Linked DNA regions of Elephas maximus indicus. The main gene of each other region encodes a partner of the protein of the gene in region 2 in a complex. Links are inferred from orthologs where the notes say so. Each region holds a gene or a part of one and is shown on either strand. Other genes may lie near its edges.

What was found.
Region 1: ING3 (region 2) and VPS72 share a complex: the UniProt entries of both Homo sapiens proteins name them as parts of the nuA4 histone acetyltransferase complex. The link is inferred for Elephas maximus indicus from reciprocal best matches to the Homo sapiens genes ING3 and VPS72.

What each region holds. Positions count from the first base shown.
Region 1 is NC_064821.1:185,210,993-185,227,100, forward strand, and holds the start of VPS72 (vacuolar protein sorting-associated protein 72 homolog), read right to left. Parts: upstream 6,261-16,108; 5' UTR 6,157-6,260; coding exon 6,040-6,156; intron 2,649-6,039; coding exon 2,496-2,648; intron 2,317-2,495; coding exon 2,202-2,316; intron 885-2,201; coding exon 708-884; intron 1-707. Other genes in the region: PIP5K1A (phosphatidylinositol 4-phosphate 5-kinase type-1 alpha), read left to right, coding at 12,271-12,352. UniProt on the Homo sapiens protein: Deposition-and-exchange histone chaperone specific for H2AZ1, specifically chaperones H2AZ1 and deposits it into nucleosomes.
Region 2 is NC_064826.1:28,785,467-28,801,055, reverse strand, and holds the start of ING3 (inhibitor of growth protein 3), read left to right. Parts: upstream 1-9,023; 5' UTR 9,024-9,193; coding exon 9,194-9,221; intron 9,222-9,465; coding exon 9,466-9,537; intron 9,538-13,645; coding exon 13,646-13,746; intron 13,747-14,751; coding exon 14,752-14,817; intron 14,818-15,589. UniProt on the Homo sapiens protein: Component of the NuA4 histone acetyltransferase (HAT) complex which is involved in transcriptional activation of select genes principally by acetylation of nucleosomal histones H4 and H2A.

The DNA.
Region 1 (16,108 bases), on a different chromosome or scaffold from region 2:
TTCAACAAAACAAACAAAAACAACTCTACATTGACCCCAGGTTCTCCTACAGTTTCTATCCTTTCTTCTACCCTTCACAGCCCACTTCAATATGGGTGGGTCCACAAAAAGTGCTTCCTAAGTCACCTCTGACCTTTATGTCACCAAAACCAATAGGCACTTCTCAGTTCTCTTAATCTGTGTCTCAACAGAATTCAACAAAGTTACTCACTCTTGAAATATTCTTTCCTCAGCAGCCTACAAACTCTCCTGAATTCTCCAACTCCCTGGTCATTCTTCCACAGCTGTATACCCAATAGCACACAAACTGAAGAGATTTCCAAGAATAATTTTTAAAGCAATTTATCTTATGGACTACTGAATTTGAAGGTAGGCATTGTTATCTTGTTTTGTGAACAAGGAAAGCAAGATACAAGTAGGTTATGTAATTTGTCTTCAGTTTTATAGCAAGTGAACAGCAGACCCAGGATCTGAAATCAGTTCTATATGACTCTCATTTTATGCCAAAGTACCTCCATATTGCTTGTTCTTCAGAGCACTCACAACTGCCTAGTCCCTGGTTCCCAATCACCTACTCTCGCATTTCTTTCTCCTGATTTCCTAGTCCCAAAACTCTATTGCTCTGGTTCTTCTAGTGTTTCAGGTCTCACAGCTTTTCTTAATGCCCTCCGCCCCACTACCCGTTGTTCCTGAAATCACGGACTGACCCAGTGAACGCAGGTTGAGCTCCTCTGTGATCTTGGCTTCCCTAAGCAGCTCCTCCTGGGTCAGTGGGCGCTCATAGTGGGGCCCCTTTCGCCGCCGTGACTGGCCCTGCCTTTCCTGTACCCGAAGGAACGTCTGTCGTGTATGCTCAGCTGTAGACTGACGCATGGACTTCCGACCTGAGAAGAGAATCAGATAGGAAGAAGTCTTTGAAATCATGAGCTTTTTTTTTTTTAAGCTTTTTATTTGGAAATTATTTCAAACTTACAATAAGTTGCAAGAATAGTACAAAGAACATCCATGTGCCCTTTGCCCAGACCACCTACTATAAACATTCTGTCTCATTTGCTTGCTTTTTTTTTTTAACCACCTTAAGTTGCACACATCGTAGCTCTTTACCTGTAAACACTTCAGTGTGTATTTCCTAAGAATAAGGATATTCTTTATATAACTAGAATACAGCTATCAACTTCAGTAAACTTCACACCAATATATTACTTAAATCTATCATCCATATTCCAATTTTGTCAGTTGACCCATTATTGTCCCTTACAGCATTTTTACTGCCTGCAGTACAGGATCCAGTCTAAGATCATGTGTTACATTTGGTTATCTCATCTTTTTAGTCTCCTCAAATCTGCAACAGTTTCTAAGCCTTTGTCTTTTATGACACATAATCACCTCCTTTAAAGAAAGCCACTTAAATTTGCAGTTCGTCACTCTCTTTGTAACTAGTCAAGAGGCTTCCCCTTGAAAAATGTTACACTAACAGCTTGATTAATCATACTAATAGAAGGGAACAGATCAACAGATGTTTCAAATATTAATTTTTACTAGCTTGAAAATGCTTAAATTTTTTCCTCAATGATAAAAGATTTATCCTCCTGTGTTTTGCTTAAACTGGTATTAAAAATAATTAGTAATCTCTTAACTTTAGAAGAGCATTCCAAAAATAATCTGAATGGCAAAAGAAAACTAGTCTGAGATAAACTTATGCAGATATTCCAGAAATGGATAATTGAGAATTAGCTAATTTGTTCTTACATGTGTATCTATGGACTACATGTACTTATTTATTTATTTGCCTCACAAATTGGGCTGTAAATCCTCTATAAAAATTCTTTTTTATACTGATACCCATAACCCGTTCCCGTCGAGTCGATTCCGACCCATAGCGACCCTATAAGACAGAGTGGAACTGCCCCATAGAGTTTCCAAGGAGTGCCTAGTGGATTCTAACTGCCGACCTTTTGGTTAGCAGCCATAAACTACTATGCCACCAGGGCTTCTTTTATACTGACACTAAACCCTTAATATAAGACTTAGCATCCTGGGGACATTTAGGAAATTCCATACTTATAGTACTGATAGTTATCAGATGCTGAGTCCTCCTATCACCTGTCCTCTAGTCCTAGAAGTAAACAGGATTACCTCTTCCCCAAGTCAGTCTGTGGGAAGACTGCTCACCCCACCACCCCCCAAAAATCCCCACTCACTGTCTGAGCCATCATCCTGTAGTTCTAGTGGCAGCAGTGCTTTCTCTTCTCGGGTCTTTTGAGAGCTACCAGCTGGGGTGCTCACCTTCCGAGGCCTCAAGCTCTTGAGAGGCTCCTAGGGACAAATTGGCATCAGAGACCAGAGAAGAGAAGAGAAAGGGAGGAAGAGGATTAGAATCTTAAGAACAGAAAACTAGTATTGTAGCAAATGGGACTGCTGTGGGGACTACTGGGTCCTGATGAAGGGGAGAACAGGAACTGAGAGGTCCAAAAAAACCAGGAATCCTTCTGCACCTTATAGGCCTTGGTGACTATTCGGCGCTTCCTTCTCGGCTCTTCTGCTTCTCCATCACTGGATGGTTCATCCCCTTCATCGATGTCAAAGTCAGAGTCCACCTCATCCTCTGTGTCTGACTGGTCCCCTTGATACTCATCATCTCCTGATTCCTGAGGGGACAGGGAAATGAGGGCTGGCTGGCACTAGAGATATCAATGCCCCTTCAGAAGAAACAGAATCTCTTCATTTTCCTGCTAAGGGTTGGCCCACACTACTTCCCAACCCAGTTCTTCATTTCGTTGGGCAAGAAGCCTTCCTAACTGATGGCCACTGGCTCCAGTACCGCGCCCTTCTAATAATAATTGACTGCCCTTTACCTATATCACACTGTGTTAAGCGCTGGAGAACACAGGGATATGGTTTGGTCTCTATTTTCAGGGGGATCACAGTCTACTGGAGGACAGGACATAATTATAAAAAGAAAAGTTTTAATGCAAGGCAACACATAAAATAACAATTGGCAATAAAATGTTACAGGGATTCAGAGGAAGGCTTGCTATGGGCTGGTGGTATGGGAAAGTCTACACTATAGACTTTAATCCTTTAGACCACGTGTCAGCAAACTTTTTCTGTAACGGGCCAAATAGAAACAAGTGGTGGGACAGATTTGTTCTGCAGGCCATAGTTTTGTTGAACTCTGCTTTAGGTTCTAAAGGATGAAGAGGCCTTGAGCCATGGTTTAAAATAATGGTAGTATTTAAGACAGCCAAAGAAAAGAAGGAATCATGAGCGGATGGAATAACAGAAACAAAGGTACAGAAGCAGGAATTTGTAAAGCATGTTTATGGAATAAGGATTTAGACCCAAGTAGAGCAGAGAGTTTGTCTCTGGCAAAAAGCCTTCCTAGCTGAAGGCCTTTGAATCTGGCACAGTCAACCATCTTCCAACATTAACTGATTGCCCTTCAGTATTTTACGATTTGAAAAGACAGCTGCATTCAGTCTATAGAGAAGCTTATATGCCAGGCATGACTTTAATATGCAGGCCAATGATTCTCAATCTTCTTCCTCCCCTTATTTGTCCTAGCACTATTACCACTGTTGAGGTAAACTAACATCACTGAGAGAAATGTCTCATTTCTCAGGTGTGCTGGGAGAGACAAACAGTTGGGTGCTACTACTATGGGTAATGGGGAATGTGGAAGATTTGGGAGAGGCGAAAACAGTGTGACAAAGGAGTGTTTCAAAAAGCTCTGGAGGTGGTTAGATGGGCTGAAGTAGAGCTTGGAGTACAGCCTAAGCCTGAGATGATGCAGGTTAGGGCTAGAGTGGGAGCCACCACGGAAAGGGAAGAGAAAAAAGCACTTGGGAGAAGGGAACTCAACTGGGCTGGGCAGCACCTCAAACATGTGGCTCTCTCTTCAATCAGTGGTACAGATTGATGGGCTAATCTTGGTACACATGCTACCAAAGCAAGCAAATAACACTGATGGGTGACACTCCAAGCTGGCCAGAGTTCAGTCTTGCAGTGATGACCATCATTTCCTCCCAACTGAAGTTTGTGAAAGACGGCCTCAGAGCACATTAATCCTCTCAGCTCTAACCAGTATTAAGTCGTATCACTAGAGGGTAGTAGTTCAACTACACATTAGCTTAGTGCTCAACCGAAGTGCTTTCACTAAATCATGAGTTTACTATTACTCTTTTGGTTTTTAATGACGGTCATTAATAGGCATGACTAGATAAGAAAATGTTTTTATACCCATAAAACCACTATTACTTAATATACTTTATAAAAAACGGAATGATAAATTTTTCCTGGAATTTAATGCTGAGTAAGTTTGTCTCTTTTGATGGAAGTACTTACATGCTTCTTTCTTATTAAAAAAAAAAAAGAAAGAGAGAAATTCAGGGTTTAGCTGTCAAGAAGCTCATAGCTAAATTTAATATCAACTGCTATTACCATTTTAGCATAGGCTCCTGGTACAATTATCTGATCTGTCTCTATTTTTACTGTTCCTACTTTTTGTTTATATAATAAGCCTTCTTAAATCCTTTTTGGAAGCATGAAGGGTACATATTAAATAACTACTCATAAAATGACAGGAATAGGAAAATGGGCTGAGGGGAATTGGCCTTGGAGGAGGGATGAGAAAGTTCTATTTTAAACTACTTGGTTAAGGCTGTGTAAGTATGACTCCTAATCAGTCCCTAAGTCTATGGATTCTATTTCCTTACTTTCTCTTGAATCCTCCTGTCCATGTTTCTCCCTCCCACAGCCACAACTTCAGTTTAGACCACTATTATCTCTTGCCTGGATTTTTGCAACTGCCTAATCTGGTTTCTTTGTTTCTAGTCTTGTCCCCTTCAAACTATTCCCCTCACACAGAGTACTCTTTCTAAAGTATAAATCTGACTATGGAACTTGGATGAAGCGTCTCACTCTAAAGAAAAAAACTCCTTAATTTGGCTCACAATGCCCCCTATATGATCTGGCCCATGCCTATTTCCTCCAGCCTTTCCAATCTTTATTCTTCTTCATCCTCTGGAAAATGGGGTAGACTTGGGGGTTCCCAGACAAGACCTGAATCTCAGTGCTTTTACACACTCTTCCTCACCCCCTCCAGTGTACTGATTGGTCCCCTCCCCCAGCTCCCAGCCCTACAGCTCTTCAACCAGCCAAAGTCTACTCTTAATACTGTCTTCAGCTTAAACATCATCTCTCCTTGGATGGCTATGCTGACCACAACTCTGGCTCCCATGGGTTACCATAGCATCCTATGTTTACCTCTTATTTTACTGCTTATCACACAATATTTTAACTGCCTGTTAACCCAACTAGTTCTCCCATGCAGGTATGAAATGTTAAGGACAGTGTTTTTAATACTCTGTTTTCTTAGAGGCTATTACAGTGCCTGGGATGCTCTGGGTGCTCAATGATATTTAATAAATGGATTTGGTCAATAAAAATCTAAGGAGTGACATTAGACATATACTGTTGAGCAAAACAGACTATCTCTAAACTTGTAGAGCTTACAACCTAATAGGAAAATATAAACAAATAAGTAAACCAAATCCAATTACAAATTGAAATATGTCCTATGAATGCAACAAATGGGGACACTTTTTCAGGTCAAAGAAGAGTTACCTAAGGAGACATTTACAGTGAGACTTGAAGCCTGAAAAAAGGAATGTGCTAAGCCCCTCTATCTTTTGGAGAGATTACTTTCTACATGTCAGTTAAATAACCAGGCAGCTGGCCAACGAGTATATACCGAATGACTACGATGTGCCTTGCATGGGGTGAGAGATGCAGCTAGAGAAATACACAGTAGGTTTCTCCCACACTCTGCTGTCTCCCTCCAGAGAGCCTCTCCACCCCTGACTCCCTTCAGCCCTGTCCAGGGCTCTGTTCTCTAGGACTCCACTGTGTATCCCCAGACTCTCTCACCCCGTCTCGAGTATCTGCGTCCAGGACTCCTCTCTATTCCCGTTCCCTTCTTCTTTGGCAGGACTCCTCTTTTCGTTTTCTCCCCTCCCTCTACCTGGGCCCGGCTCTTGCCTCTGTGAAACCCCCATAAGTCGTCTGGTAGAACTCATCTTCCTCCTCGGCCTCTAGAAGCCCAGAAAGCCGGTTCCCGGCGGTCTTCCGCGGGGCTCGGCCCCCAGCCAAACTCATACCGCGCACCGAGAGTACGCCGCCGCCTGCGGCCCCTCACCCAGCTCGGGTCTCGGAGCTCGGCGCTTGACACCACTACCTGCGTGTGACCGATGCAACGGAAGCGGGGCGTCTACAGGCAGAAGCAGCAGAGCGTCGAGGGCCTCCAGCCTTCTTTACTCTTCAGCCCCGCCCACTACTGCGCAGAGCCTCTGCTACCCCTGCCTTATCCCGCAGGGGCTTCGGCTGTGGGAAGCATGCCATCCCTGGCGCTGAGAGCCTTACTACCGTTAAGTCCAGAATTTGCGAGTCGAACAGTTTCCTTTTAGAAGAGGTCATTGTCCCCCTGCTCCAGTCCGTTTTCCGCTCTGCTGCTAGTAAGAAACTTTCTAAAAACTTGTACGTGACTTTGCCACTCTTCTGCTCAAAACCTTCAATGGCTCTCCATCTTCCACAGGATAGAGTCTAAGCTCCTCGAGGCAGAACAGTATTGTGATTAAGAGCACAGTTTTAGAGCCTACTAAACCTGAGTTCGAATGTGAGCTTTAAGGTCTTCCAGCTGTGTGACCTTACCTCTTTGAATCTCATTTCCTCATCTGTAAAATGGGGCTAATAATACCTTTTAAGGCTGTTGTGAAGATTAAAAAATATACTTATTAACTGATTAGCACAATTTTAGTCCGCACATGGTAGATGTTTAGTAGATGATCACTACTATTAATGTGCCATTCAAGAGCCTTCCTAACTTACCCTCTTCTTGCTTTTTTAATCTCACTTCTGCCACATCTCCATGTATATCCAGCATCACTCCCTTGAACCCAATTCTCTGTTATACCTCCAAGCTTCTTCTTCTTAGAATCCCTGTCCTACACATGAGACCGTGTTGGTATCTCCTGTCTGGAGAGGAGATGAGAGGGCAGAGGGGGCCAGAAGCTGCCCGAACGGACACGAAGACAGACGGTGGAGGGAAGAAGTGTGCTGTCTCATTAGGCGGAGAGCAATTAGGAGTGTACAGAAAGGTGTATAAATTTTTATATGACAGACTGACTTGATTTGTAAACTTTCACTTAAAACACAATAAAAATTATTTAAAAAAATTCCTGTCCTTTCTTGTCTACCTGGAAACATTCTTATTCTATAGGGGAGTCAGGAGTACTGAAGGAAGAAGTCCAAGTTGCTGTGAAGGCATTGGCGAAAAACAGGGCTCCAGGAATTGGTGGAATATCAATTGAGATGTTTCAACAAACAGATGAAGCACTGGAGGTGTTCACTCGTCTATGCCAAGAAATATGGAAGACAACTTCCTGGCCAACTGACTGGAAGAGATCCATATTTATGCCTGTTCCCAAGAAAGGCGATCCAACCAAATGTGGAAATTATAGAACAATATCATTAACATTACACGCAAGCAGAATTTTACTGAAGATCATTCAAAAACGGCTGCAGCAGTATATCCACAGGGGACTGCCAGAAATTCAGGCTGATTTCAGAAGAGGACGTGGAACCAGGGATATCATTGCTGATGTCAGATGGATCCTGGCTGAAAGCAGAGAATACCAGAAGGATGTTTACGTGTGTTTTATTGACTATAAAAAGGCATTCGACTGTGTGGGTCATAATAGATTATGGATAACATTGAGAAGAATGGGAATTCCAGAACACTTAATTGTGCTCATGAGGAACCTTTACATACATAGATCAAGAGGCAGTTGTTCAGACAGAATAAGGGGATACTGATTGGTTTAAAGTCAAGAAAGGGTGCATCAGGGTTGTATTCTTTCACCATACCTATTCAATCTGTATGCTGAGCAAATAATCCGAGAAGCTGGACTAAATGAAGAACAGGTCATCAGGTTTGGAGGAAGACTCATTAACAACCTGTGTTATGCAGATGATACAACCTTGCTTGCTGAAAGTGAAGAGGACTTGAAGCACTTACTAATGAAGATCAAAGACCACACCGTTCAGTATGGATTGCACCTCAACATAAAGAAAACAAAAATCCTCACAACTGGACCAATGAGCAACATCATAATAAAGGGAGAAAAGATCGAAGTTGTCAAGGATTTCATTTTACTTGGATCCACAATCAACAGCCATGGAAGCAGTAGTCAAGAAATCAAAAGACGCATTGCATTGCGTAAATCTGCTGCAAAGGACCTCTTTAAAATGTTGAAAAGCAAAGGTGTCACCCTGAAGACTAAGGTGCGCCTGACCCAAGCCATGGTATTTTCAATCTCATCATATACATGTGTAAGCTGAACCAATGAATAAGGAAGACCAAAGAAAAATTGATGCCTTTGAATTGCGGTGTTGGTGAAGAATGTTGACTATACCGTGGACTGCCAAAAGAATGAACAAGTCTGTCTTGGAAGAAGTACAACCAGAATGCTTATTAGAAGCATGGATGGTGAGACTGCGTCTTACATACTTTGGATGTGTTGTCAGGAGGGATCAGTCCCTAAAGAAGGACATCATACTTGGTAAAGTACGGGGTCAGCGGAAAAGAGGAAGACCCTCAACGAGGTGGACTGACACAGTGGCTGCAACGTAACAACGATTGTGAGAATGGCGCAGGACCAGGCAGTGTTTTGTTTTGTTGTGCATAGGGTCGCTATGAGTCGAAACCGACTCGACGGCAACAACATAGGGCAGTCAAGTCTTTCCTCACATCCATTCCTCTCGTTCCAGGCACAGTTCCCATAACTATGGCGATCATGCCTCCTGGAGTCTCTGGAATAGTTTCAATTTATTTTGTGACATTTTCAGAATTCTGTGTCTACTTCTGTTCCCATTTTTCATCCTGAAAATGTAGTTGTCAAACCATAGCACTTGTACATAACTCCATGATGAGACCTTTTGTTGTAACGATTTGGGTGTCTGTCTCCTTTATTAGTTTATGATCTTTTTGAGGGCAGGGACTTTATCTTCATCTCTTATGCCAGGAGCTTTCATACTGCCTGGGGCAGTTGTGGCTAAATAATGTACATTGAATGATGGAATTAGCATATTACAAATGGAATGAATTAGTACCTGTGCTCTTATTCTTGCCTCTGTGTTGCTTTTGCCAGCCACCAGCCATTCCATTCTGACTTTAGGAACTGTACTAAGACATAAAGGAAGCTTTTCTAAAGCTGTGTGTTTGTGTGTATGTCTTCCTGGCCATATTTTGTGGCCACCACATTGCGCCTTTTCCTAAAGTATATATTGGTGAACTCCCTTTTTCACTTCCTTGGGGGCACCAAGCCAACTTGTCCCGCCCTGCCCCTGCATCCACACCCTGCCACGTCACCCCAGTTTTGCTATGCCAGGAATGTTACTGCCCTCTATGACTCAGAGGGCACCCTGGGGATGGAGTGGGAGTGGGGACAGAGACAAGGTTTGGGGGTGGGCGTGAGATGCCTACTTCTTAAATACCCCTAGCTCCACTTCTTGAATTTTGCCTTCATCCATTCATATATTCAGGAGGTATGTATTGGGTACCTACTCTGTTCCAGATGTTTGAGATATTAAAATTGACGTCATCTTTGTCCTGAAGGGTTCATAGTCCTATTAGGGAGACAAATAGGTACACAAACTGACATAATACAAGGTGGTAGGTATCTAATAGTAACCATTTTCTGGTACATAAAGCAGAAACTAAGACTCTTAAGAAGCCACCAAACAGGGGTGTCTTCTTTCAGGATGGCTGAAGTCAAATTCACCCCTTCATCCAAGTGACAGATCAGATCCCTTTGTTTGACCTCCTGCCCTGGTAACTTAGGGCTTTATTGGTCTTTTTCCAATTTTTAAATCAGAAACAGCTTTACCTCTATACCAGCTGATAGCTAAAATAACTCAGGAAACGGTAGCAACTCCATGCTTTATATGGAAACGGAGATAATCAATAAATATTGAACACCCACTATGAGCCCAATCCTGAGCTAGGCAGTGTGCCCCCACACAGTCCCTGTACTGTTTAGTTGGGTGGGGGGTATAGAATTAAAAAAAAAAAAGAATTAGGCATCATAAAATACTTCAACACTGCACAATTCCACTGCTGTGAAGTTACCAATGTCAATCCAATCCTTTGAAGTAGTTGTCTACTTTCATACCCCAAAGAGGAAGAATAATCCAGCAGGTGGCAGCAGGGAAACAATCTTGGATCTAGTAGGGGAAGGATAGATAGAAGGGGATATTCTATGGACATTCGGGTCCTAGATTCCTTCAAAAACCCGGAATATCTGGATAGAATAACTAGGCCCCATCTTGAGGGCTATAAAACTTATACGTGTTTTTTTTTTCCTCATTTATCTTCATTGATTCATTCAACCATTAATTATTGAGCCCCTGCGATGTACACAATCATGATGAGGAGCCGGAAATGCAACAGTAAACCGAACAGTTCCTGCTGTCCAGTAGTTTACAATCTGTTCAGACAGGTTTCTGAATCACCACCAGGGTTCAGAACCTCCAAGGTACTTTGTTAAAACTGGAGTGGGTTAGTGGAGTGGGTTAGTGCGAAGACTAGACGATGGAAATTGGGCAGTTTCTCTGTTTCATCTCTATGACCTGTGGAGCACAGAGAATGGAGAGTTGGAGGCTAAGGGTTTGGATCACGCAAAGGTTTTGATATGGTCTAATGGTCTTCCATTAGCAAAGAAAGGGAAGATGTCACTGTGAATACTAGGGTGCACCTCACCCAAGCCGTGGTGTTTTCAATAGCCTCATACGCATGCAAAAGCTGAGCAGTGAGTAAGGAAGACTGAAGAATTGATGCCTTTGAATTGTGGTGTTGGTGAAGAATATTGAATGTACTATGGACTGCCAAAAGAATAAACAAATCTGTCTTGGAAGAGGTACAACCAGAATGCTCCTTAGAAGCAAGGATGGCTAGACTACATCTCACACACTTTGGACTTTTTATCAGGATGGATCATTCCCTGGAGAAGGATATCATGCCTGGTAAAGTAGAAGGTTAGCCAAAAAGAGGAATACCCTCACAGAGATGGATCGACACACTGGCTACAACAATGGGATCAAGCATAATAATGATTGTGAGGATGGCACAGGACTGGGCAGTGTTTGGTTTTGTTGTACGTAGGGTCGCTATGAATTGGAACCCGCTAGACAGCACCTAACAACAACAAAAATGGCCTTCTGTAGCCCGTTTTGACAGAACTTCATTCATTTATCAAATATTTATTGAACTTTGTCACTGTGCCCATCATTGTGCTTGAGGCAAACAAAAACATAGGAGGTGTTACAAATGTCATTCCTAAGGCAAGACGTGCACGCACATTAAGCTAAATAATAAACAGGGCAGTAAAGCCGGAAAAGGGCCGGGAAGGATTCTTCGTGGCTTGTGATGTTTTGTAACATTCGACTGTTTAATATCTCAGACTTGACACACGCCCTTTTCTCCGGAGTTCTTTCCTGGGCTGTTAATTTGAGAGGGCCGAGTTCAGGACCCTAAACCCAATCCTTTCAAAGCGTTGAATCTGAATTGACCCACCGAGCCACCATAGGGTTAGTCAGCCGACCAGGGCGCGTAAGTCTTCCACCCTTGGATTCGTCAAGGCTTGAAGGACCCGCACCACGTGACCGCAGTCAGGCTCCCGATTGGCTCCACTCCTATCCGGACCGTCACCTCCCACTGGGTGGAATGGAACCTTGAGAAGAAGATCGGGCGCATGCGCGGTGCCCGGATTTCCCTGGACACCGTGAGTAGAGCCGTGGGGTTGGGCGATAAACAGGCTGTGGCCGGAGGAGGGGGAGGGGGCGTTTGCTCCGCCCGGAGTTCTCACGCCTCCTTATCCCGTTAGGTGTGGTTTGGTTCGAACCCGGGGCCCCCGGAGCCGGCTTGAGCCTGCTCCCTTGTGAAGGGGGAAAGTAGCCCCGCGGAAAGCTGTTAAAGTTGCGAAGGGGGTGCGAGAAGAGAGTTCTCCACCCATGCCCGCCGAATGGTACGGCCCTGAGCTGGTCCCTGAGCTGGTCCGGGAGCTGGCCCGACGTGTCTGAGAGAGGCCCCGGCGGGGGCGGGGAGGTGGCCCACAGAACGCGAGTTCTGTGTAGAGACGTGGGAAGATTCGATTTCGAGAAGAGGAAGAGCTCGATTGAAAGGGAGCGAGGGCGCTGAGGTGGGGGGCTACCAAGATGGCGACGGCCTCCTCTGGGCCGTCGACGATCGGATTTTCATCCGTGGATTCCGGGGTCTCTTCCTGCACCTCGTCCTCAGGTAAGCAGGGCGGGGCGTGGGCAGGGGGCTGATGACGACTGTGCGATGGGACGGAGAGCGAGACCTGGCAGGGCACCTGTAGCTGGAGGTGTTCGAGGGGTTACCGGTAAGAGGCAGAGGGTTGGATTTTCAAATAGCAGGGGTTTCTGAGCTGGCAGGGGACTGGGAGTGATGAGTGAAAAGGATGAGAAAAAAAAAAAAAAAAGAACGAGAAAAAGGAAGGTGTGGAAGATGTTGGCTGTTTTCGACAAGACCGGGTTGAGGACTCAGGAGGGGATGGAGATTGAAGGTAGGTGTAGGAAGGAAACAAGGGGAACCCAAGGGAGTAGAGAAACTAAACGGAGCACTGACAAGTAGAGAGAATTAGCGTGAGAGACAGGTAGAATCCAACTTGATTGTGGGGTTAATTGGATGAACAGTGTGAAAGAGAAGCCATGGAACTTAGAGATATTGAAGAGTTATGAGACGCTTTAGATTGCTGGGGAGTTAGCGAATCGTGAATTTTTTTGTGGTGGAAGTTATCGGACCCGGCTTTTTCCTCAGAGACTCCCCCACATGCGTCATTCCTTCTCACTTCGTCCTCCCCTTACACAAATACGCACAAACGCACACTTTGTCAAACATCTTCCTTTGGTGACTCCTATCTCTAGACGGCCCAGCTTTGAAAACGAACGGGAATTTTTGAAGAGAGCCTCAGGAATGTGGAAAATTAGGGTCAAAAGACCCTAAAAACAGTTGGGGAAGGTGAAATAGACTCTTTCCATTGCAGTAGAGGCTGAGGGAAGTGATGTTGGGAATTAGGCCTTAGAAGAGGTGGAGGAGGCTCTGAGTGCTGTGGAGGAATATTGCGTAATAGGAAATGAACTGGGAGAAAGCTTAAAATGTATCAGAAATTTGGAACTTGGAGAATGGAGCCAGGGAATATAGAGAGCTCAGAGTAGTTAGAAACTAATGAAGATTGAGGGAGGATTGAGGAGCCTGCAAGAAAAGCAACAGACTGTGTGTAGGAGGGAAAATGTGGTGGTGGTGGGGATTTTGAGTCACAATCTGTTCTAGAGGTTCCATCAGAAATGTGTGGTGTCCCACAGTGACTGTTGCCTTTGCACTGTGAGGAGGAGAGATTGCCAGATGTTGAATGTTTTAGAGATGTTGACATTTTTTAGGCCTAGGATTGCATCCTTGCCATTTTGAATTGGCTGAATAGAAGGTTCCACCTTTCACATTCCAGCTCAGATGAGCAAATACATAGTCACAAATATCTTCTTCATAAGCTGCAGTTTTCTTGAGAAGTGATTTTTGCCTTTCCTGTAAAAAGCATTCGAGGGCCACAGCATCTCTTGTTGCACTCTAAGCTTGAAGGATAAAGTGAAAGTGCCAGTTTTTTAAAAAATACAGTAGGTCCTTAATTTGAAACCTCTCCTTACCCCCATTAAAAAAAAAAAAAAAAAACATAGTAACCCAGAAATAAGAGTGATTGTGTATGGTGCTTAAGCAAACTTTTTTTTTTTAGTTGTAAATATATATGTATGTAAGAAAATATTTGCCAGTTCAACATTTTTCACATGAGCGATTCAGTGACGGTGATTAATTATGTTGTAGAACCATCACCCGAATCTTTTTTTTTTAATTTTTATTGTGCTCTAAGTGCAAGTTTACAAATTAAGTCAGTCCCTCATACAAAAATTTATATAGACCTTGCTATATACTCCTAATTGCTCTCCCCCTAATGAGATAGCCTGCTCCTGCCCTCCACTCTCCATTTTCCTGCCCATTCTGCCAGCTTCTGACCCCCTCTGCTCACTCATCTCCCCTCCAGACAGGAGATGCCAACATAGTCTCAAAGTGTCTACTTGATCCAAGAAGCTCGTTCTTCATCAGCATCTTTTTCTATCCCATTGTCCACTCCAATCGCTGTCTGAAGAGTTGGCTTTGGGAATGGTTCCTGTCTTGGGCTAAGAGAAGGTCTGGGAGCCATGACCACCGGGGACCTTCTTGTCTCAGTCAGACCATTAAGTCTGGTCTTTTTACGAGAATTTATCACCCGAATCGTTTGCCAAATTTTCTATTACCGTTAACAGATACTCAGTGCTTCCTAAACAATGACTCCTCCTCCCCCCTCTATTCTGCCCTGGTAACCACTAATAGACTTTGGTTTCTATGCATCTGCCTATTCTAGATATTTCATATAAGTAGGATCATACAGCATAAGGTTTTCAAGGTTCGTTCGTGTTGCGGCATGTATCTGGACTTCATTTCTCATTATGGTTGAGTTATAATCATTGTATTAAGCAAATTCTTAACTCAAAAGTCAGAATAGAGCCAGGGAATATAGAATGGATGTCAGAAATGATATTAATTTAAAGACGGTAAGCTTACACCCCAAAATTTGGTTCAGCCTCTGTCTCATGGAGGTATTTAACAGGTGGAAAAATTTAAGAGTAACAAGGAAATATTTTTTTTGTCTTTATTGATACATTTTTCTCCTTTTATGTCTATAATCTTACTTTAGATAGTCCTTAGGTGTTACTAAAAAAAAAAAAAAAAATTTTTTTTTTTTTTTTTTTCTATCTGGTGTTTTTTATAGGCTTTTACATTCTCTGCCAGACCCTAGGGCTAACAGTTAATAATACAGACTGGGTAAATTTTTTTTTTTTCCTTACTTTGTTTGCACCAGGTCAAAGATTAGGTTTTAGTGGACTCTACAGCTCCTTGATTCTGTTATATTCATACGTGAAGTCAAGGTGTAAATATGTCCAAGTTAAAAATAGTTTTAAATTCCTTTTTCACTTTTGTTTCATATACCCTTCATTCTCTGCTTCTTTGGCAAATGTTGAAACAGTTTTATTCAACTGTGTTTAAAGAAAAATTTTGTTCCTAAACATAACTGAAAACATTATGGGATAATTGTGTGGGTTTTTTGTTGTATAACTGTGCCCACTTAGGTTTGATCTTAGTGAATTTATGATTTTTCTCTTCAAGGGTATGTTTTTGGAGAGGGCGTGATACTTGATTCTGATGCAAAAAAGACTATTAATAAATGGTTTTGTTTGTGATTGGAGAGTGCCTCTCTATCTGGATGGCACCAGGGAATTAGGAAGTTGGCAGGAATAAAAGATGGCTATGATTTCTGGTGGCGTAGCGGTTAAGTGCTACGGCAGCAAACCAAAGGGTCGGCAGTTTGAATCTACCAGGCACTCCTTGGAAGCTCTACGGGGCAGTTCTACTCTGTCCTACAGGGTCGCTATGAGTCGGAATCGACTCGACAGCACTGTGTCTGGGTTTATGATTTCTGAAATTGTTATAAGCTAGAAGGCTAGCCTTGTAGAAACTCAAGGTGTGTGTTTGTTTTAACCATCGTAAGAGCAATTTATTATTCTTAGATGTTTAGCTGAGCTCCACTTAAATTTTAGTGAAACTCTGAAATTCTAAAGTTGAAAATCCTAGTGTTGAAAATAGATACAAAATGTCAGCGTTCAGGTGACAGGTTGACATCGTTTAAGAGAATCCACTTGTAAGCTTTGGGGGCTCAAAATCTTTTGTCGTTCAAATTAGGAAGAAGTTATTTAGAAGAGTTTTTCTCTGCCATTGTCTAGACTGTTTTTAACCATTAAGCCAGATCTGGTCTTTTATGACGCTAACAAGTGAAATACAGAGGGTAGAGCAAATCTTAAGCTCTAAGGGATGTTTAACATCTTTTCCCATTGAGATAAGTACCATATTTGGATTTGGGGGAGGCAGCTATAAATGGATATCAGT
Region 2 (15,589 bases):
CCAGCTTCTCGTATTATTTGCTCAGCATACAGATTGAATAGGTATGCACACCTTTTCTGACTTTAAACCAATCAGTATCCCCTTGTTCTGTCTGAACAACCGCCTCTTGATCTATGTAAAGGTTCCTCATGAGCACAATTAAGTGTTCTGGAATTCCCATTCTTCGCAGTGTTATCCATAGTTTGTTATGGTCCACACAGTTGAATGCCTTTGCATAGTCAACAAAACACAGGTAACTCTGGTGGCGTAGTGGTTAAGTGCTACGGCTGCTAACCAAAGTGTCGGCAGTTTGAATCTGCCAGGCGCTCCTTGGAAACTGTGGGGCAGTTCTACTCTGTCCTATAGGGTCGCTATGAGTCGGAATCGACTCGACGGCACTGGTTTTTTGGTTTTTAAAACATCCTTCTGGTATTCTCTGCTTTCAGCCAGGATCCATCTGACATCGGCAATGATATCCCTGGTTCCACGTCCTCTTCTGAAACTGGCCTGAATCTCTGGTAGTTCCCTGTTGATATACTGCTGCAGCCGTTTTTGAATGATTGTCAGCAAAATTTTGCTTGCTTATGATATTAATGATATTGTTTATAATTTCCACATTTGGTTGGATCACCTTTCTTGGGAATATGCATAAATATGGATCACTTATGATTCTTCTTAACCCTCTAAATACAATACACCCCTTATACCTGCACTGAGGCAACCATTCCCATGACAATGCCCTTTGTATAGCACTTACCAGACCATTTACCTATGGTTGTTAATTCTTAAGGAACCCTGGTGTTGCAATGGTTAAGCGCTCCTTGCTACCCAAGTAGTTCTAACCCACCAGCTTCTCCGAGGGAGAAAGGTGTGACAATTTCTTCTGTAGTGATTCTAGCCTAGGAAATGCTATGGGGCAGTTCTGCTCTGTCATATTGGATCACTATGAGTCAGAATCGACTTAACAGCACACAACAACTGTTAATTCTACAATATTATCTCATGATTACATTTTACGTGCTGGGCCCTGTGGTATGTAACCACATACAATATCTCATTTGAGTCCCTCTCAGTCCTTGAGTGTGAGTACCCCTCCTTACCCTCATTTAATGGATGAAGAAACAATCTTAGGAATACTAGGTATCTTAGTTTCTTAATAGCACAAGTGGGTGGCTTTAACAAACAGAAATTTATTTTCTCAGTTTAGGAGTCTAGAAGTTTGAATTCAGAGCACATACTCTAGGGGAGCACTTTCTTTCTGTTCTGGAGGAAAATTCTTATTTCAGCTTCTCTTTAGCTGGTGGCCATCCTTGGAGTTCTACGTCTTGTAGACTGGTCTACCTCGGCTTTCTTCAGACAGTGTCAGTCTTCCCCCTGTACCCACTTTCTTCTATGCCTTCTGCGACCCTAATACACCCCAGTGTGTTTCCTCCTTTTCAAAATGGGCGACCGACAGCTCGACGTAACTAAGGCCATGATGAACGTTTAAGTTTTTCTCCTTCCTTTGCCTGCCTCCTCCTTTGCATACCTTTGCTAATGACTTTGTTTTGACCTAATGCTAATGATTTCTTTCTTTGTTTGATCTGATGCAAATTACTTTGTTTTGTTCTGTCCAACCACCAACAGAAAAATCAGAGACCTGATGTCTGACCTGTATATCTTTAGCCTGGTAAGGTGATGTTGGGCATGTATCTCTTTAGTCTTTTGGCATTATCTTATAATGAATAACTCCTCCAGCCATGCCATCTGCAGGCTACAAAAACAATTCTAACCCTTCTAAAAATTCTATATAAGCTTTAATGTAAAATTGCTCTTTGGGACTCCACAGAGACAGTCTGTGCTGCTGAGGTCTCCAGTGACATATACATCTCCTGAATAAACTTTCTCACTCTTTCTAACTTGGAGTATGTTTCATTGGCTCGACTGCTCCAGGGCACGGACCCTAACTGGGCAACACTACTACTACTCTGCTCTTATATATCTCAACAGTGATTGGTTTAAAACACACCCTACACTGATATGGCAACATTAACATAACAAAGAAAATCTTATTCTCAAATGGGATTACATCCACAGGTATAGGGGTTAGGATTCCAACACACAATTTGGAAAGACACAACCTGATCCATAACACTGGGTAACTTGGGAGTGAAAAAGGCTGGAACCATTCGGAGCTGTGCAAAGTGAAGACTATTACCCAAAGATGCTTATAACTGATCCAGCAAGGGACCCAGTGGATTTTAAAGATGTAAAATTATAGAGACTCATGTAAAAACAACACTTTATTTTGGTTTCTTCCCATAGTATAGAGGGAGGATACACTGCCTGGAGCAAAGTAAAGATTTCATTTCGGAGCTTTAGTAGGAAGATTTCAAGATGGTGGGTATCTTTGTAAAATAGAGAAATGGCAAAACTGCAAGACATCAAGCAAAGTCCCTCTGAAGAGATGCTATACGAAGAACTTAAGTTTCCCTATCACTTGAACTCTGCTAACAGCCATATTTTACATCATGTTTTGAATCCTTTCCTATATTCTAATTCCTTCTACTTAGCCAATAGGCTCCAGTGCAGTTTGTTACTCATGCTTCCGTGCCTCACCTCTCCTTTGAAGTAAGGCTAGCAGTGGCAGTATCACACCTGGAGGTGTGATAATCCTGGAGTTCTAGATGGTGTCCAGTCCTCAAATAAGCAGAGGCACAAGGCAGAGCTAAGAGTAGCAAAAGAAGCAGCTGAAAGTGGATAAACTTAGGAGGGTCATAACAATATTAATGATAATGGTTGTTGTTGTTGCTAGGTGCCATCGAGTCGATTCCGTCGCATAATGATCCTATATGTACAACAGAACGAAACACTGCCCAGTCCTGCACCACTCTTAGAATCATTGCTATATTTGAGCCTGTTGTTGCAGCCACTGTGTCAATCCATCTCATCGAGGATCTTCCTCTTTTTTCCTGACCCTCTACCAAGCATGATGTCTTTTTCCAGGGACTGATTCCTCCTGATAACATACCCAAAGTCCGCAAGATGCAGTCTCACCATCTTTGCTTCTAAGGAGTACTCTGGCTATATTTCTTCCAAGACACATTTGTTCGTTCTTCTGACAGTTCATGGCGTATTCACCAACATCATAATTCAAAGGCATCAATTCTTCTTCCATCTTCCTTATTTATTGTCCAGCATTCTCATGCACATGAGGTGACTGAAATACCATGGCTTGGGTCAGGCGCACCTTAGTCCTCAAAGTGACATTTTTGCTTTTTAACACTAAAAAGGTCTGGTGGTGTAGCAGTTAACCAAAAGGTCAGCAGTTCGAATCCACCAGGCACTCCTTTGAAACTCTATAGGGCAATTCTACTCTGTCCTATGTGTTGGAAGCGACTCGATGGCAATGGTTTTTTTTTTTTTTTTTTTTTTTTGCAGAATTGCCCAATGCAATGCATTTTTTATTTCTTGACTATTGATTCCATGGGCATTGATTGTAGATCCAAGTAAAATGAAATCCTAAACATCTTCAATATTTTCTTTGTTTATTATGGTATTACCATTTATGATCCCTACATGTCTGTCAGTCTGTCGTATTGTGGGGGCTTGCATCTTGCTGTGATGTTGGAAGCTATGCCTCCGGTATTCAAATACCAGCAGCGTTACCCATGGTGGACAGGTTTCAGCTGAGCTTCCAGACTAAGACAGACTAGGATGAAGGACCCAGTGGTCTACTTCTGAAAAGATTTAGTCAATGAAAACCTTACGAATAGCAGCGGAACATTGTTTGACATAGTGCCAGAAGATGAGCCCTGCAGGTGGGAAGGCACTCAAACTACGTACGACTGGGAAAGAGCTGCCTCCTCGAAATAGAGTCGACTTTAATGATATGGACAGAGCCAGCTTTCCGGACTTTTCTGTGCTGATATGGCACGAGTCAAAATGAGAAGAAACAGCTGCAAACATCCATTAATAATCGGAACCTGGAATGTACAAAGTATGTCTCTAGAAAAATTGGAAACTGTCAAAAATGAAATGCAATGCATAAAGACCAATATCCTAGGCATTAGTGAGCTGAAATGGACTGGTATTGGCCATTTTGAATCGGACGATCATATGGACTATTATGCTGGGAATAACAACTTTTTCAGATGAATGGCGTCAGTCACATTCACTGTCAAAAGGAACATTTCAAAATCTATCCCAGAGTACAACACTGTCAGTGATAGAATAATATCCCTATGCCTACAAGGAAGACCAGTTTATATGACTATTATTCAAATTTATGCACCAACCACTAAGGCTGAAGATGAAGAAATTGGAGATTTTTACCAACTTCTGCAGTCTAAAATTGATGGAACATACACTCAGGATGCACTGATAATTACTGGTGATTGGAATTTAGAAACAAAGAAGAAAGATCAGAAGTTGGAAAATGTGGCCTTGGTGATAGAAACGATGCTGGTGATTGAGTGACAGAATTTTGCCAAGACCAATGACTTCTTCATTGCAAACTCTTTTTTTTGCCAACATAAACAGTGACTATACACATGGACCTTGCCAGGCGGAATACACAGGAATCAAATCAACTACATCTGTGGAAAGAGATGATGAAAAAGCTCAATATCACCAGTCAGAACAAGGCTGGGGGCCAATGCGGGAACAGACCATCAACTGCTCACAAGCAAGTTCAAGTTGAAACTGAAGAAAATTAGAACAAGTCTGCAAGAGCTAAAGTATGACCTTGAATATATCCCACCTGAATTTAGAGACGATCTCAAGATTAGATTTGATGCCTTGAACACTAATGACTGAAGATGAGACGAGTTCTGGAATGACATCAAAGACACCTCAACATAAAGAAGACAAAAATCTTCACAACTGGACCAATAAGTAGGAAACCCTGGTGGCACAGTGGTTAAGTGCTATGGCTGCTAACCAGAAGGTCAGCAATTCAAATCCACGAGGCGCTTCTTGGAGACCCTAGGGGCAGTTCTACACTGTCCTATAGTGTCGTTATGAGTCAGAATTGACTCTATGGCAATGGGTTTTTTTGGGTGGGTTTTTGGGACCAATAAGCGATGTCATGATAAATGGATAAAAGACTGAAGTTGTCAAGGATTTTATTTTACTTGGATCCACAATCAACACCCATGAAAGCGGCAGTCAGGAAATCAAAAGATGCATTGCATCGGGCAAATCTGCTGCAAAAGACCTCTTTAAAGTGTTGAAAAGCAAAGATGTCACTTTGAGGACTAACAAGCTATGGTGCTTTCAGTCGCTTCACATGCATGGGAAAGCTGGAGATGAATAAGGAAGACCAAAGAAGAACTGATGCCTTTGATTTATAGTGTTGGCAAAGAATATTGAATATACTGTGAACTGCCAAAAGAAGGAATAAATCTATCTTGCAAGAAGTACAGCCAGAATGCTCCTTAGAAACAAGGATGGTAAGGATATGTCACTCACATACTTTGGGCATGTTATCAAGAGGGATCAGTCCCTGGAGAAGGGCACCATGCTTGGTAGAGGGTCAGCAAAAAAGCAGAAGACCCTCAACAAGATGGACTGACACAGTGGCTGCAACAACGGGCTCACGCATAACAATGATTGTGAGGATGGCACAGGACTGGACAGTGTTTCGTTGTTGCACTTAGGGTTGCTATGAATCAGAACTGACTCGAAAGCATGTAACAACAACAATTGAATCATTACACTAAGTGCTTTGCATAGATAATATCATTACGATCATATAGTACTATGATTTAGCTATTTTTACTATTTCCATTTTGTAGACCAGGAAATGACACAGAGAATTAAAATAACTTTGGCCAAGATCACACAACAGTGTTAGAGTAGGGAAGTGAACCCATGCAATTTAAGTGTAGATCCTGCACTGAAACACTGCAACCATCCTGCCTCCTGTTTCCCAAATAAATTTTTAAAAAAGGTCAACCGTAAAGGTGGGGTGAGGGAAGACAGATACTTGAGTCACGCTAGTATAAAAAGCAGTTCATAATGTATAATCAGCTGAGTGATTAATAGCTAGAATTCTACTTTTTTTTTTTTTGTATTATGACAATGTAGACTTGTAAATCAGGCTCTTTTGGCAAAAAAAAATCCAACTCTAGGCAGAGAAAGGAATAAAAGGCAAGGAAAAAAGTAAAGCAGCTCTGGGGGTCTCAGCAACAGCAGCTTGTGGACCATATATCTATTGAGCTGCAATTAATGTAATTTTGTCAACATTCCTTCAGTCTCAGTGTCTCTACATTCCAATTTCAAATCCCAGGAGAGTGCATCCAGTAGGCCCACATTAATCAGAAAACTCTTCTATATATGTGTGTCCAGGTTTTCCTCTCCATTACAATCACCTCCATAATGGGATATGCTGTGAGTAACCAATCAGTTGAAAGGCAGTTTCCTTGGGCACACACCCTGCATCAAATATAAGTGGATATTCTGGCAAGGCCTGTGAGCTTTTGCTCGCACCCTGGATCCTATTTGTCTGGCCTCTGGTTCTTGGGATTTGAGTTAGCAGCTTACTGCTATCTTGCTCGCCAATCTTGGGATTTGTTGGGCAGCCTGTGAGCCAGAGCCCTGCCATCTAACCAGCAGATTTTGGGCTCGCCAGCCCCTTCAGCTACATGAGTCAGGAGAAGCCTCCAGCCTGACCCACATTTCCAGCCTCTACAACTGTGTGAATCTTTTCCTTAATATAAATCTCTCCATATATATATGTATATGCTTTACTGGTTTTGCTTCTCTAGAGAACCCAGCCTAAGACATTTGGAACCGGGGGTAGTTCCAGAGAAACAAAACGCTAAGGGTGAGTTTTCTAAATTGGTTTTCAAATCTGGTTAGTCTTAAAGATGTTGATGGCTCTGCTTTCAGTAGTAAAGATGACACAGCTAATCCTTGAAAGAAAGCCTTATTTCTTATAGTAACAGCTGATATCGCCAAAAATACTATGTAGAGGATGGGATTTTCCAGCCTCTATAACCATGTGAGCCATTTCCTTGATATAAATCTCTCTATACGGGGCAGTTCTACTCTGTCCTATAGGGTCGCTATGAGTCGGAATCCACTCGACAGCAATGGGTTTTTTTTTTTTTTTAATAAGGTTAAGCGTTTGGCTGCTAACCAAAAGGTTGGCAGTTCGAATACACCAGCCGCTCCTTGGAAGCCATATGGGGCAGTTCTACTCTGTCCTATAGAGTCCTCTGAGTCAGAATCAACTCAACGGCAACAGTTTCGTTGTTGTTGTTGTTTGTTTTATATATACATATATATATATAATGCTTTACTGGCTTTGCTTCTCTAGCGAAGCCAGCCTAAGACAGTGAGAAAGTCTGTATATGTTCTAGGAGAGAAGAGAGAAAATGGGGAATAAGCAACATTGAAGAAAATAATGGCTTAAAATTTTCTATAATTGTTGGAGGACATTAATCCTGACATTCAGGAATCCCTTTAAATCCCAAGCATAGTTAAAATAAAACCCAAAAACAACAAAAAAGAAGAAATCCAGACCTAGATTTAATCACTGTGAAACCACAAAACAATCAAGACAAAAAAGTTCCGAAAGAAAGAGAGAGAAAAAGAAAGACTTAAGGTACCAGATTTTAGATACAAGTAGAGAAGATAAAAGTAGGTAATAATTCTTATTAGGATTGGGGTAAAGTTCCTTTGAGATTCATCAGTATGACAGGAAGTCTCCTGATTAAGTGCGGTAGAAAATTCTTGAATACAAGAGTATGTAATGGAGGGGACAAGCTGGACACACACATAAACAAGAGTTTCCACACCAAGCAGAATAATACAGATTAGAACATTAGATTATAAACTAAACACAATTTTTCCTAAAAAATGAAGAGATTTAAATAAAGAAGTGAGGAAAATAATAACTAACATTTACTGAGTACTATGTGGTCGCTATGAGGCAGAATCGACTCTACAGCAATGGGTTGGGTTTGGTTTTTGGTAGAGTTAAGAAAAAAGAAACTGAGCAGTGAAGAACTAAACACATCACTTACGAACTTTTGGGGGAAGGAGTCCAAAGTTGGTAAAAGACAATATCCACGACTCTAGATGTCTATTATAATCCAAAGTTTTTACTAACACAGCTCATTGGACATAAAAGCTCCAAGAACTATTTTTCTTTTGCAGGTGTTGAGTATAGGAGCCCTGGTTGCTCAACGGTCAAGATCTTGGCTATTAACCAAAAGGTCGGCAGTTCAAATCCACCAGCCTCTCCTTGGAAACCCTATGGGGCAGCTCTACTCTATCCCATAGGGTAGCAATGAGATCCGAATCCACCGGAGGGCGACGTGTTTGTTTTTCGGTTGTGTGTATAGATCAACTACAATAGAAAGACGTCGGAAAGAACTGAAAAATAGGACATATGATTATAAGAGGCTACCAGCCTTGGAAACCCTATGGGGGAGTTCTACTCTGTTCTTACAGGGTTGCTATGAATTGGAATCAATTGCAACCGGTTTGGGTTTTGGTAGCGGGGATTAGCTGTCACCTTTTCATCTGGGAATGCACATTCCACTCTAACTTCTCAGTGTAAATTACATTAAAATTACATAGACGCCAACCAGGTGTCCCATTTATATTTTTAGGAGTGAATACTGAGGGCAGATTCCAGCAGAGTTTTGTTCTTCACGTTCCAAATTACCCGAACTTTACTGATTATTCCACCGTTAGAACCTTCGCGATTTGCCGGGCACTGAAATCCATGAGTCACAAACACCGGGTCATAAAATCATAGCAGTAAAGAACAGGTGAAAAGTTGTTCCTAGTTGTGTTGTGCAGGAGCATACAACTCCCGTCATTCCCTGTCAAAAATCAACAAATAAACAGAGGCACCGCATTTCGGATTCAGCGGCGCACTGTTCGCAATGGCGCCTAGTTTTTGTAGTTTCCACGTGGAAAGCTGCCCGCCCATCAAGGCTCGTTCCGGAGGGAGGAAGACTACACTTCCCACAAAGGCGCAAGAGCTGACACCGACCGGCTTACGTCATTGCCCCAGTCAGCCAATGGCAGCACCGGGCGGCAGTGAGGCGAGCGCCGTCAGGCGCCAAAGTGTTTCTTTTCTTTTTTTTTTTTTTTTCCGGAGCCGAGCGGGTGCTGCTAGCGGAGGCGCCATATTGAAAGGGACAAAACTCCGGCGACAGCGAGTGACACAAATAAACCCCTGGACGCCCTCGTTACCCCAGTTCTAAGGGCCGCGATGTTGTACCTAGAAGACTATCTGGAGAGTGAGTGCGCGGCGCTGACGTGGGCCGCCGGTGTGAGCCGCGGGCGGGCGAGAGTGCGAGTGGCCGGGCAGGCGGGATGGCGGGAGGGAGGGGGCGGCGGGGGATGTTTCTTTCTCACGGTAACTGGCAGGCTCGTTGTGGGCTGCCGGCTCCCTGGCCCCCCCGACGCACGCAGACGCGCAGTGACGTAGGCGCGTATTTTCGCCGTTGGCCCCGCCCCTCTGACGGACTCTCTCCTTGACAGTGATTGAGCAGCTTCCCATGGACTTGCGGGACCGCTTCACGGAGATGCGCGAGATGGACTTGCAGGTGCAGAGTAAGTCGCCCGGTTTGCTCTTGTTCGCTTTGCGCATCCAGCGCTAGACTTGCCGGCTCTTTGACTCTTCTGGCGCGCTCGCTAGTGCGTAAGGAGTTGTCAAAGAGAACGGGCATTGCCGAATCTTGTCTCTTCTCTCCCGCGCTGCTTTTCTCGTGGCGTTCACAAGAGGAGACATTGGGGCAAGTGTATTTTTTTCTCGAATTTGGGTCTGTGCAAAAAAAAAAAAGTATACATTTATTTATTTGGCATATAATGGAATATAATGGAATTTACATCAGCATAAATGTTGAGAAGGTTTTGACTTGAGCTAATACGTTACCGAATTTAAATTTCAACACTTCTTTCAAAGCTCCTCTCCTTAAAATTTTCAAGAGCAGAAAACTTCTAGAAGCATGGCTTGTATGTAGGTTTTCAGAAACCCTGGTGAACTTGGAATACCACATTTTGGAAAGTTACACATTGTAGCGTACGTTCTCAGTTGTCAGCCACACAGTGTTTCCTCAATCAAAATGAGTGAGGGTAATTAGATTTTATTGTAAAGCTACCTGTCGCATGTAATAACATTTTTGTCAGCGAGCTTTTCTTCTTTTCGTGATAGCTTGGTTGTCGGGTGACTTTACCGAAATTACTTTGCCGTTTCAACTAGAGAGTTGGCAAATGGCCTTCAGGGTGTTCTGGAATACACTGGAATTATATCCTATGTATATATATATATTTTTTTTTTTTTTGATTTCTTTTTTTCTGGCAAGTTCTGAAAAGGGCCCATTATTCAGAGAATGCAAAGAATCACTGTCTTTGGAGATAAGAAAGCAAATACTTAGGCAGAATTACATTAACTAAAAAAAAAAATATATATACATTACAAAGTAAGAAAACAGTGCTGTATACCATATTTATGTCTACCATGCTGGGACAGAACCTGACAAACCTTCCCTATTTGTGAAATGAGTATGATGAGAGTTGTTTCAAGTGTCTTGTAGGGATACTTTGTTAAAAATTAAGAATGGGAAAAGAATAATATGATACATAATTAAAATGTATAATTGAAAGTCCCTTGTTGGATGTGTCACTCCCTTTGTTTGTAGGTACTCCTTAATTGTGTAATTAGCATTAATAGCTAGCCTTCATGGAGTATGGCCCCAGAAGATATGTGTTTTGATTCCATGCATCCCAGCTATGTGTGGTCTGTATATAAAATGTTTGTCATGCTGGCAGGTTTTCTTAGAAAAGTAGGCATGGATGTTGATGTGGGTTTTGAATTCTGATGGAGAGGAAAGGAGTATTATGGAAAGAGATCAGCTCAACAAGCTTCCCAGACTGTGGAAGCCTTGGAGTAGCTAAGACCCTGTCCTTTTCATTTCCCCTTGCTTCTCTGCACCCCTCCCCCCCCCAGCCAATACATCTGTACCCATTGTTAATGAATGTACTTTCTCAACCTCTTACCAGTTTCATTAGGGGCATATTAGAAAGGTGATATGGTATGGAAGCCGCCACATCCTTCTACTGGGTATACTGTATGATGGAAGTCTGAATTGTACATGGGGCTCTCTATCCAGCTCACAAAACCCAATTTAACTTTATTATAGTTGAAATGCTAAAGATTTTTTAAAGTATTGTTTTCTGCAGGATCAAGCACAGACTTTTATGTCAGGTAGGTCTGAGTTCATTTAGGGCTTTGCTACTAACTTACTGACTTTGATCACATTACCACTTCTGAGGAGTTTTCATCATCTTTAAAATGAGAATGATCTAAGGATTAAAATAATACAGATAAGTTACAAAGTATAGTACGTGGTGCAAAAAAAAGCAAAACCAAACCCATTGCCCTGGAGTCGATTTCGACTCATAGCAACCCTGTAGGACAGGGTAGAGCTGTGCCATAGAGTTTCCAAGGAGCACCTGGTGGATTTGAACTGCCGACCTTTTGGTTATCAGTTGTGGCACTTAACCATTATGCCACCAAGTTTTCCAAAAAAGAACATTTTATAAATTTTCATTATCATCACAAATTTAAAATTCTCTTATAATTTATACAAATTACAGGCTTTTTAACTTGTATTTTTTTTTTTTTTACAATGATTAGAGTTTTCTAACCTTAATAGATATTATGGGTTAAAAGAGGTCTCTGTGTTAAATAAGTTTATTTATTAAAAAAGGAAAATACTTTTTAAAAAATTACAGTAGGGACTCTCAGAATCTTTATGAAGCTGTTTTGTACTGCAAATTTCCAAAAGGAAGATAGAATAAAAAGGTTTTCCTCAGCTTACATGATGACAGAATCCCATTTATTTGTCCTTTTGTAAAAAGGAGCCCTGGGGGTGCAGTCCTTAAAGCACTCAGCTGCTAATTAAAGGGTCTGCAGTTTGAACCCACCAGCCACTCCCCAGGAGAAAGATGTGGCAGTCTGCTTCAGTAAAGATTTACAGCCTCGGAAACCGTGTGGGGCAGTTCTGCTCTGTCCTTATAGGGTTGCTATGAGCTGGAATCTACTCAGTGGCAGTGGGTTTTGGTTAACAGACATCAAGTGAGATGATTATTCCTGGCACAGGCACACACTTTGAGGAAAACTTATCTAGAATAACTAACAGTCTGTTAAGTGAATAAATGATTGTACCTGTTACATTCACTTGTGATAAGAGATAATGAGATACTTAAGGCCATATCACGAGATATTAAGATCTTTTTACCACCTTTTCTTATTAAAAGAGGTGTAAGGATTAAGTAGTGGTGCTTTCAATAAGTAATTGTGTTTTGAGACATTTAGCCTATTTAATTCTAATCACTTCTTTTTTTGGAGAAACAAAATTTTTCTGTGTGCTTTAAGTGAAAGTTCACAGCTCAAGTTAGCTTCTCATACAATAATTTATACACACATTGTTATGTGGCCCTAGTTGGTATCCCTGTAATACGTCATCATGCCTTTTTCTACCCTGAATTTCCTGTGTCCATTCAGCCAGCTCCTGTCCTTTCTGCCTTCTCATCTCGCCTCCAGACAGGAGCTGCCTATGTAGTCTTACGTATCTACTTGAATTAAGAAGCACACTCTTCATGAGTATCATTTTATGTTTTATAATCCATTCTAATCTTTGTCTGAAGAGTTGTCTTCAGGAAAGGTTTTAGTTCTGGGTTAACAGAGAATCTGGGGGCCATGTCTTCTGAGGCTCCTCCAGTCTCAGTCAGACCATTAAGTCTGGCCTTTTTACTAGAATTTGAGTTCTGCATCCTACTTTTCTGCTGCTCTGTCAGGGACTTTCTGTTGTGTTTCCTGTCAGGGTGGTAATTGGTGGTGGCTGGGCACCATCTAGTTCTTCTGGTCTCAGGTTGATGGAGTCTCTGGTTTATGTGGCCCTTTTTATCTCTTAGGCTAATATTTTCCTTGTGTCTTTGGTGTTCTTCATTCTGCTTTGCTCCAGGTGGGTTGGGACCAATTGATGCTTCTCACATGACTGCTCGCTAGCTGCATGCAGGCTGCCCACCTTGGGGCTTCTGTCCAGGGTGGCGGTGCTGGGCAGCACATCTGAGTTGATGTAGGTCAGCTAGGTGGACTTGGTGTCCTGGGTCCAACTCTCCTAGTAGCAGGGCCCAATGGCATCAGCCCGTCTCCTGCCACAGCCCATCCTCCTGCGCTATGGGTGTGCCCAGCAGCTACTTGGCTGGCTACTCCGAGCGGCTCAGCCCTGGCAGCACAGCTCAGGCCCATGGGGAGGCAGCGGCAGCATCATATCCTTGCGCCTACCTGCCTGCCCACGCCACAGCTAGGAGCGGAGCTCTGGCGCTGGCTGCCCCCTTTGCTGCCTCCAATAACTTTTCACCTCAAGGCTCAACCATTGAAAAACAATCGGTGTCATTGACTCTACTTGATTATTAGAAAAGACTTTGAAATAACAATCACAGAAATAAATTGTCAGTTGGAAAAAATATAACTTCTTTTTTAGTAAGGTAATCAAGGAATTATATATTCACACAATTAAAGCATGACATACTTAAGTTACTGGCCAAGTGAAAGGAACATATGTTGTCGGGTATGCTTTTTCCCCCAAAGTGTATATATATTTAGTGTATGAACCTGGCTGACTAAATGTAGAAAGTTTTTATTATGTTTCAGATGCAATGGATCAGCTAGAACAAAGAGTCAGTGAATTCTTCATGAATGCGAAGAAAAATAAATCTGAATGGAGAGAAGAACAGATGACATCCATCAAAAAAGTACGTTCAATGTCCTGAATGAATTATCGATAAATATCAGGACCCTATTTCCTGAATATGGAAATAAGGAAAAGTTATTAGTGGCTCTTTAGAATTTAAACAACTTACTGTGTTTTAAAGCTCAAGATGTAGCAATTTTTAATCATTGAAGCATTTTGGTAATTAAATTGTTTCAGTAGTTAGTGATTTATTAAAAAGTTATCGAACCTTAAAAAATAAGTACATACTTTTTTCCTAATTTTTTTTTCCTTTTAAACGGTTTTATTCTAGCTATTGGTAATTAATCTTGCCTTGTCCTTAGAAATATAATACTGTCTGAGTTTTGGCCCCAAACTAGGGTGAAAAATCAGCAGAACTTGTAGTATATTTCCTGTGTTGCTTAGGTACCTAGGTACCTAAGACTTAAGGAAGGGCAGAATCTTTGAGTTGGAAGGTTCCTTAAAGGTCTTTTAGTTTAAAACTAAATTTGTACATGAATTGGGTCTGTAAATGTAGAATTGAGTGTTTATTAATTTTATAGAACTTATAGCTATCTTCCAGAGTGTAGTGAGCATCAGCTCTCAGCCCAAGGTTTGTGTTAAAGGTCTGATCTATCTAGTTTGTTCAGGAATGTATTGGAAAGAACAGCTTAAAAGACATGAGTTTTGTCATGAAAATGACTGGGCCATTTGACTGTGTGACTTTGGAAAAAGAACTTCCTTAGTTCACATAGCTTTAACTAGAATGTAGGCTAGATTTGGAATGTGTTTATTTTTATTTATGTATTTTTTTCTAGAAATTCTGTACATCTTTCTTTGATTGTAGGCTGCTGTCCCTAACTTATAATTTTTCTCCTATCCTTTCCCTAACCCTAACTGGGTTTTTATTGCTAATGTAGGGTGACTGGATATTGCTTTAGTGATAACAGAGTCTCACAGAATAATAATAAAAATGTAGTTATATGTCCTGCATACCCATGTTTAAAAACTATTAATTTATCCTTGAAATCAAAATGTTTTTATTCAGGATTACTATAAAGCTTTGGAAGATGCAGATGAAAAGGTACAATTGGCAAACCAGATATATGACTTGGTAAGTAACATTAAGGCACATACTACATCATAAGTATTTGAATTATGGATTATGTTTTACATTTTACTGACTTAAATGCTATAGGAAGAGTAAACCAAAACTGAAGTGTTTGCTCTTTGGATCCCTTTAATTTGAGTGTTTGCTTTCAGTTTTTTTGGTTTCTTTGTGGAAGAATCAGAGAGAGTCCACAGCATAAATTACTAGGTCAATAACCTTGTATTTTGGCAAAGTCTCCATTTCTGTTACAATTGTATCTGATATTGGACACTTTTTTTTTTAATAAGAATTGATGTTTAACCTTATTTTATAAATCCTTATGTTTTTCAGGTAATGTGTTTACTTGGCTGATAAATCATTTTGAGATTATTTCTGTTGTGTAATACATATAACAGTACTGTGTTAACAAGAATTTTTTTTTTTTTTTTTTAAGTTTTTCCTCTTTATTTTGATGAGTAGGTTTGTTAACTTTCTTTGTGGTTACTTTGGAATTTCTCTTATCTTCCTAGGTTTGAACTAGTCTATTATTACTTGGTATCGCCTTGTCTTCCTTTTCATTAGAAAGTTCTATACCTATAATGCTTATTCCAGCTTGTATTGTTCTGACATTGTTGCCTCTCTGGTTCCCTGTTGTAATTCTTTTGGTTTTGTATAGTCCTTGAGAGTTAATTTCCTAGGTTGGTATCTGGCTGGTATGATCTCATGTCCTAGATTTAGGCTGTGATCTGATTTTTTTTGTTCTCAAACCGAAGGACTCCCTTTAATAATTCTTGTA